Bombyx mori: one gene and its partner. The protein of the gene in region 1 interacts with the protein of each later gene in a pairwise test. Links are inferred from orthologs where the notes say so. Each region holds a gene or a part of one and is shown on either strand. Other genes may lie near its edges. The genes, in order: geranylgeranyltransferase type I beta subunit and protein farnesyltransferase/geranylgeranyltransferase type-1 subunit alpha.

What was found.
Region 2: the proteins of geranylgeranyltransferase type I beta subunit (region 1) and protein farnesyltransferase/geranylgeranyltransferase type-1 subunit alpha interact in binary tests that used the Homo sapiens proteins (3 or more experiments, as listed by UniProt). The link is inferred for Bombyx mori from reciprocal best matches to the Homo sapiens genes PGGT1B and FNTA.

Annotation. Positions count from the first base shown.
Region 1 is NC_085127.1:5,040,647-5,045,116, forward strand, and holds the start of geranylgeranyltransferase type I beta subunit, read left to right. Parts: upstream 1-1,402; 5' UTR 1,403-1,859; coding exon 1,860-1,966; intron 1,967-3,338; coding exon 3,339-3,466; intron 3,467-4,470. UniProt on the Homo sapiens protein: Catalyzes the transfer of a geranyl-geranyl moiety from geranyl-geranyl pyrophosphate to a cysteine at the fourth position from the C-terminus of proteins having the C-terminal sequence Cys-aliphatic-aliphatic-X.
Region 2 is NC_085129.1:8,198,969-8,203,390, reverse strand, and holds the start of protein farnesyltransferase/geranylgeranyltransferase type-1 subunit alpha, read left to right. Parts: upstream 1-1,325; 5' UTR 1,326-1,856; coding exon 1,857-1,986; intron 1,987-2,513; coding exon 2,514-2,637; intron 2,638-3,464; coding exon 3,465-3,555; intron 3,556-4,169; coding exon 4,170-4,309; intron 4,310-4,422. UniProt on the Homo sapiens protein: Essential subunit of both the farnesyltransferase and the geranylgeranyltransferase complex.

The DNA of each region.
Region 1 (4,470 bases):
GGATCTCAAGAAAGTCGATGCCCCAAAACTATTATCTATATATATTTAAATTCATTATGGAGCCCTCATCCGAAAAATCGGACACCATTTTTCGGTCGGAATCTATTGATCATGACACTAATCATAAATTCCTCTTTAAAATATGTCATCAAAACATATTTAGACATTCTGTTTAGATATTTCGGGAAAAAGGCTACCGACAAAATCTCTTCGGAACTATTTAAATAAAATAGTTTTATTCCGCAGTGAGTAAAACACTATTGTAAATTCGTTAAATATTTAATAATTAAGTTATTTTAGAGAGGAAGTCACAAGGAATGACGTTTTTAATAATGAATAAATGTTCTGTAGGTGTTTTTTTTTATCACGCGGTCCCTTGATAAGTTTAAAATTTGAATCACTCTCAAGTGAAAGTGATTCAAATGGTGCGGCGCACCTTCCTTGGGGTGCGCTGCGGTAGTGTGTTATGGACTTTAGAGTAAGCAAAACAATTAAAATAGATTGTAATAGTCTAAGAAAAACACGTACTCAAAATACGATAACATTTAGCATGCTAGAAATGGGCAGATGGCTTTGTACTACGCCATATCTTTATGTTTTGCGACAAACGACAACTTTATAAAATCAGTGTAGCAACTTTTAAAAATCATCATATCGTTTACTTGGCAAATTCGAAGGAGGAACTTGTCTTAGATTTCACCCATCTAAATCATATCATACTTGCACATAACAATATACCTACTTACTTCACATTAAAGTATAAATTCTACAAATAAATAATACTCAACAATATTTAAAATAAAATGAGCCAAGAACGTTTATCGATAAAACCTGATAGCATTGAAATCTTTTGTACAGCACTAAAACCGCCATGTTTTGGGGCCAGATGACGTCACAGTGGCACGAATTTTTGGTTGACGTTTCATTTCCATAGATTTCCTACTTCAGTGGTATCATTCAGTATCTCATATGGACTTTTTGGCGGGAAGGCGAGGAGTGAAGTTGTGTGATTTGTTTTATATTGTCTATTTAGTGTTTCTTCAGGTTTAAATGTGTAATAACGGTGGTTTATTAACTGTTTAATATCTGTGAAAGTGCACAAATGTGGGAAAATGAAACAAAGCCGCTGGACATAACTTCTCGGGATCCTCCAAACAGTCCACTGAAAAATCTCAGTAAATGACCACCATTTTTCTGAGATTATATTTCATCCCATATCATCTCGTCACTTAATTTCATCCCAGTTGATTAATGTCTCAAATTAATTATATTCATTGCATTTCACTCCATTTTATCATTTTTCATAAAAATAAGATTAAAAACTAAAATAAGACATGACTTAAAGGTCTTTGTAACCAGGTCATAAAATCCCTTAAAAAAAAAGTATCTCATATAGGCTTTGTTCCTTTTGCCAATTTATATAAAGAAAAAGTCAGTCATAGTCATAAATTAATTTTATATTCTGGTCGTCATAGTTTTGCCTGAGTTTCTCGGAAAACGACTGTACTGTATGCAGTTAAAGTCTAATTTTACTTTAAGCCTTTGTTGTTTAATTTCATTTGTTTTTATTTTCGACATTAAGCCATTGGAATAGTGATTATATTTGGATATTTAAGCAATTGTCATTGCTAGAATATGTCAGAGCAGTTGAGAGGTTGTGTGTCGGTTTACTTTTTGGATTTTTTGTCGTTTCTAAATTAAAGTTAAAAACAGTTCTACTAACTATTACAAATTATGAGATAAATTGTGTGCTTATTTTCTATATGTGAATCGAATTCATATTTATAAATAAGGATAAATTTTAATTAAAGTTACAATAATAAATTGTACTTAGAAGCCCAAAACATTAACGTACAATAATGAATAACGAAGGAAACAAGGATATGGCTCATCGTCAGCACGTAAAATATTTCATGAGATTTTTGAATATTTTGCCTTCGTCTCTATCATCACACGATACTACAAGGTAAGCTTTTAAAGTTGAAAAATTGAAAGTTGATTCCTGTGTTTTTAATTACCGAAATATTCACCTTGGCTGCAAAACTTTCACATTTCGAACGACTGATTACCGGTTTTATTTGAGCTTACTTATTTTCATTAGATCGTATCAAAAGAATATTCCTTAACATATATTACCACTCAAGATTTTATAAAATTCTTAGTGTAAATAAAAGCACAATATATAACAACAAAAAAAACACAATGTATGACTTCAACCAGAAAATTAGTAAATTAATTTTCAATTTCCATCCTCTAAATAAAAATTACTATCAACAATCCAATGTTTTTAATTGGAAATCAATTAAGCTTACCCCATTCAAATAGCTGAAGAAGTTTTTTGTTATGATATTTTTTTCCAAATTTTAAACTCACCTGTAGAGTTGCAAAAATATCACTTAACCCAAATTGCCTTTCACCTCTCGATATAATAATAGTTTATTTTATTTTGAGATAAAATTACATGGTAAAATAGCATACTGGAGCCATCCTTTTAACAGGAAAGACTGCTTGTGTCTCGAAACATATATATTTGATACAGTCTGGTACAATTATCAACACTGTAAAATCGGCACTGGATGTAGGATGTAACATGAGCCTGTAAGAATGTTTACCATCATGATTAGTTCAGCTGCCAAATAGTCATGGATTCTGGTTCAAACAGTTCTTCAGCTGTATTTAGCAAATATTTAGACTTCATGTCTCCAAATTACAGCATTTATGTGTCATGTTTACCAGAACTGAACTACATAACAACACTATTAATGTACTTAAACTTATTTCTGGACATGATTTCTTGCGTAGGAATTTTATTTTTAAAACAAGCTTACCTTTTATTGACCTCTGTTTCCATTGTTACCAGCTATCTGTTTATCATGTTTACATGTTATCTTAAATTAGGGTAGTGTAAAATAATAGTATATTTATATTATGAGTGAGTTTATATTATGAGCATATTTATAAATGGTCTATGTTAATGTGGCAACAATGGATCTGCAATGTCCATCACAAATGCTCTAATCCACCAGGTTCGCAGTATTTTCCAATCCCAACCATAGGCTAGATTTACTAACATTTTAAATAATACTTAAATAAATATATGAAATAAAATAAATATAAGCTTAAATAAAATATAAGCTTTATAAGTTAACAACTTTATGAGATTTCTATATTCTGAAATAAAAACCTACTATTATTGAAAATAATTATTTATTGAAAAGAAAATCTCTAATTTTGTTCCTTTTTTTTTCCATCTTTTATTTAGTTCCATCTTATTTATATTTCTGAATATGAATGATTGGTAGAAAATTGTGTTGAAAAATATTTTTTCTTCATTTCAGAGTTACAATAGCATATTTCTCTGTTGCCGGCCTGGATGTCTTAGGATCCATATCAGCAATATCTCTTGATCTGAGATCCAGGATTATTGAATGGTTGTATAGGCTTCAAGTACATCCTGATAAGGAAAGTAAGTGATTTATTCATTTTAATTTTCTAAAATCAATTCTAAAATTCATACAATTTATGACAAGTTTAGTGTTTTCAAGAAGTTTTATTGTACAACAGGATGCTTGAAGTGTTAGGTGAAACCTAAAAGTATTTATAATAAGGAGATTATGTCTTAATTTAATTTTGGTGCAGATGCAAAATTTTCTATAAATAAATCATGTATCAAATTGTACACAATCAAATTTTTCACATTTTTGTGTTAATATCTTTCAATGATTGCTTTGTTGAATTCATTGCCTTATATATAAATGAGGTTGTAACAGTAGGGGAGCAGTTCACTCCAAAAAAAATTGATTTAGAAAAAAGATTAGAAGAATAAGTCACACGAAAGTGGAACTAACACAAAAGGCGTCGTGGCCTAAAGGATAAGTCGTCCGGTTCATTCATATCGATCGATGTGAATGTGCCGGTGTTCGAATCCGGCAGGCAGGTACCAATTTTTTCGCGCGGATCGGCGTGGTTGGTAGTCGACTATCGCCTCGATGAACCATCGGTCAGGGGTGTCAGGGGTGGGACCGCGATTCTCGTTGTTGTGTTGACCGCAGGAACTCACCTACTCTGACCGGGTTCTGACCCCGGGCGGAGATTAGACGTCAGGTGTAAGAGTGCAAGGGGAGTCATTTGATGCGGTAGGATCCCAAAAATATCCTTGGGCCCGCGGTCTGCTCCCAACATCTGCATGCTGTCAAGACCCGCATACCCTGCTTGGGGCAACCCTAGGCGCGGATACCTCCTAAGAGGTTCGGCCCCCTACTCGAAAAACAAAGGTTGTCTTGTGATTCCGCATGGGTAGGTAGCCTAAACCTTTCCTATTACTGCCTCCAAGCAGGTTGAAAGTTGTGTCAGCCATTGTATTAAAGAACTGTGACTTAGAATGTTTGACTCAAGGTTTGACTCGCGGCATTTACGTTGTTGATGTCTCTGGACTCTGATAACTATTTAAAAGGTGAGCTGTGAGGTCGC
Region 2 (4,422 bases), on another chromosome or scaffold:
GTATTTTTGTGGTAGGTCCTTTGGGCTGGTACCTACAGATAAGCTATCGACAATACTTATTATACTACGTTGCACATAATTTTAAAATTCAAAACCCTTACCACTGGTGGATTCCTTCGTAAGCATCGATGCCTAGAGCTATTTGTTTAAAATAAATTTTTTGAAGCTTTTAAAAATATATTTGTGATAGTAATTATAATTTTCATTTGAAGCATAGACCTTGGTACCTATTTACGCTACTTTTTGACTCTCGACAAAGAACGACATTTATAGCAAATTTGCCAGTAATAGAAAACATAATATGTTTTGTCCAATAACTAAAAGTCGGCACATGATTGCACAAAACGAAGCCGCAACATTAAATGACTATTATTTTTATGTCTCTGAGTTCATGCCAACTTAGTCCATGGCACCTATCCGTTGAGCTTCTCGCTGGATCTTAGTGGATTTTGGTTCCCTGGTACATCCACATAAGTGGCTACAAATTACAAAAAAAGGTCACAGGCGGGCGCATCACGATGCTCAGCAATGAAAGATCGACTGAAAGAGGAGGAGGAGGAAATCCACTCATAAAGCAGCTGCCAACACAAAGCCCTCTGGTAGTTGTCAAGAAAACCTACACACTTGGCTGAGCCTTTGAGTTCGTTTCATCTTAGTGAAGCTGAAAAGAACTTCGGGCCACTAATCCCACAATGCAAGCAAGGCCAGAAATGGTATTATTGTGGTAAAATGTAAATAGATCTATAATTTAAAGAGCAGTGATGATGGCAAAATCTATAAAACGCCACCTATCATGGTTCCTAATTTGAAGCCTTTGCACCTATTTTGAACATTCCTCTATTTTGTGGATAGTAGCCGAAATATTTATCTGCATGGGACGACCAAAAATATTTATTCAAAAAGGGAATGAACAGGAAGTCACTTGATGAAAGCAACTTGGATTTTTGTGTAGCAACGTTTTTATAAAATAGCAGTTATGTATCCTCTGTTTTAAAATAAAAAAATCTTAATAAGCTTCATTAGACTTTCTTTTTCACTGAAGATTACTTTATCATCAACTTTGAAAACCAAAACCAATGTCCATTTTTTTTATTGCCCTTGTAGGCAGACGAGCATACGGCCCACCTGATCGTGAATGGTTACCGTCGCCCATGGATTAGCAATGCCAGGGGCAGAGAAAAGCCGCTGCCTACCGATACAGCTCTTTGGTTAATTTTACTGTAAGTGCGTCACATGATGAATTCTTAAGACAAAATTTTAATTTTGCGAGTTAAGCCTTAAACTATTGTAAATTGTTATTTCACTAATTAGCTAATGATTCTATTCTTTATGAACACTGTAATATCATGCATTTTGCGGATTCAGTATTTTTTAATAGTCGTTTAAGCTTTATGTTTAATAGACGGCGCATTTCAAATTTAGAAAAATAATATACTGAAACTTGCGTGTTCAGCGACAATACCTTGTATGTAAATGTAAAAATTATGTGTACTTAATGTAACCTATTACCTATGATGTAAATGTAAAAAAAATACCTAACTATTGATTGTTATTTGACATAGTCTGTGTAAATTGTAAAAAGTGTGGACACGTACGTAGGTATTTAAATGTAAACATAAGTCAAATGAATTCAATTTGTAAATACCTAGTCAATAAACAGGGCATTAGTTAAAATTACGTCAATAAATACTAAAGATACGCTTTCGTATTCATAATGTTTCTGGCCTAGATAACTGGTACACATGTTTACTCACGTAAAGCTGTGTTTGTCACGTTTGATAAGAGTACTACTATAAGTGAAAATTGAAGACCGTGAAGACAAGCTTCATTTGTTTAATTTTACGAATTCACTCAGCATGTCTGATTGCGGGGACAGTGATGTTTTATGGATACCATACAAAGAAAGGCCGGAGTGGAGTGATGTTACGCCTGTTCCAGAGGATGACGGTCCCAACCCAGTGGTAGTTATAGCTCATTCGGAAAAATGTATGTGTAATGCCTGTTTTTTTCATTATTATTTCGTAACAAACAAGTTCAAAGTATAAAAATGAATAAATGCATTCGAAGGTTATTGAGTCAGTAATAGTTGGCATGACATATGGTATTGAAAATTAATGCAATACACAAAGGCAAATACCTATTAAGTGAAAGGTTAAATAATTTATTTAAGTTTATTATACATGAATGTGATAGATATATGTATATTTCGCAAATATGAATGTATAGTTCCATCAGTTCCTGCAATTTTACCGATAGAGATCACTGTGTGACTAGTTAAAGAGTGGACAAGTTAGATAGCACTTGATATCGTCTCTTTATGTTAATGTCAACATTCTTTCCAATTTTACCAGTATTACTTGGCTTTCCAGCTTAATCAAAATTCAATTGATTGTTTGTTGTTGCTAAAACAGATTTAAGTTTTATGCATACAGATAAGTGTACATTACCAAGAGTATACAGAGTAGATCGATTAATTTAAAGTTCATTTGTGTATTAATACTTTTCAATTTTAGTTGAGGATGTGTATGATTACTTCCGAGCAGTTTTACAAAGTAATGAAAAGTCAGAACGAGTACTTCATCTTACCAAGGATGCTTTGGAATTAAATCCAGCTAACTACACTGTTTGGCAATACAGGTATTTATTTATCTTCATACATTAAGGTTAACCAATATAGTGTGATTTGCTTGTGGCACAGCAAATTATTTCATTGCTATTATGATACTGAATTACATGGTTAAAGTCCAATTGTTGAGAAGCATGATAGTTGAGTGACATGTGTATATGGTTTTCATACACTTAATAATACTTCTAAGAAAAGGTGACACCAAAAACATTAAGGTTGCAACAAAGGTAAGTTATGAGAGAATTTTCATTGTTCTTATGAAAAACTAAAAACGAATCAAAGCAGCAATTCTAAGAATATATATATATACTTACATATTATTACTATAAAATAGATAATATTCAGTATTGTATTACAATATTTGGAATGCAATATGGAATGAACTCCGCTCCATGGTGTTTTCCGAGTGCTATGACATGTCGTTTTTCAAACGAGGCTTGCGGAGAGCAATGGTAAGCAGCGGCTTGGCTCTCCCCCTGGCATTGCTGACGCCCGTGAGCGACAGTGATCACTTTCCACCAGGTGGGCCGTATGCTCGTCTGCCTACAAAGGCAATAAAAAAAGAAAACATATTTTTATCGTCAATTTTGAAAGAATTAAAAATTAAATTATAAGTTTGTTTTAAATATTTAATGGTTTCGTTACAATGCTGTTTCTCTTATTAATTCTATTTTGTTTACATTATTACTGTATTAACAAATAATCCTGCAAAGTTTAATCTTTATTCATAGTGAAAAATTTTATTCAGAGCCATTTAAAGGTTAATTAAATTAACTAAGTGCGGTGGCAAGTTTTAGTTACAACATAAAGTAATAATACATGATATTTTGTTTTACAGGAGAGATTTGCTGAAACATTTGAACACTGACTTGAGGACAGAATTAGATTATGTTGAAGCGGTTATAAAGAATTCACCAAAGAATTATCAGGTATAATTATTATTAATTTTAATGACTAGTGAAAGATCACACATTTTTACATAATAAATAAAATAATCACCGTAGAAAACTGTTTTTTATAGAACAAGATGTGTGCTTGTGCTCATGACATACCTGGTATTAAATCTGCGCCAAAAACTGAAAGATGAATAAAATGCTAAGAAGCTTAGCTATCTGTGACATATTGCATATTGTCTAAAAAAGTATATTTCGCTGTTACATAAGCACAGAAAAATAGATGTTATTGCTTAATGTGAAATGTTAATACATGTGCTTTTGGCTACCTTATTTAACAATTATATTAATGATTGTAGGCTTTCATTGTTGGAAGTAAAGGTTTAAATGATTACTAAATCATATTAATGCAATGGAGTATTTGCAAGTCAGATATTACGAATATTTCTATAGAGATTGTTTAATTATTCCATCTGTTAATTTTTGTATGCATATTATATGTACAGTATCACACATATAATATTTTTACAAGTTTGCTGCAAAAACTAATTGTAATATCTTAACATGTGTGAAAGATTAGCATACAATTTTTCATGGCTAACATTTTCATGGTTCAATTTTTCATTTTCCATGGTTGACATGGCTTTCAGGTATGGCACCACCGTAGGGTTTTGGTAGAATGGCTGCAAGATCCCACAATGGAACTTGAATTGACAGGCGATGCACTTCTACAAGATCCAAAGAACTATCATGCTTGGCAACATAGGCAATGGGCTATCAAAACATTTGGGTGAGTTGGTGAAATTCTTAACAAACAATATATATTTTTCATTATATACATGGCTATGGTATGGTTAGTTCACTCCAATCCAATCCATCTCTTGTTAAATGGTTCCTGGTACC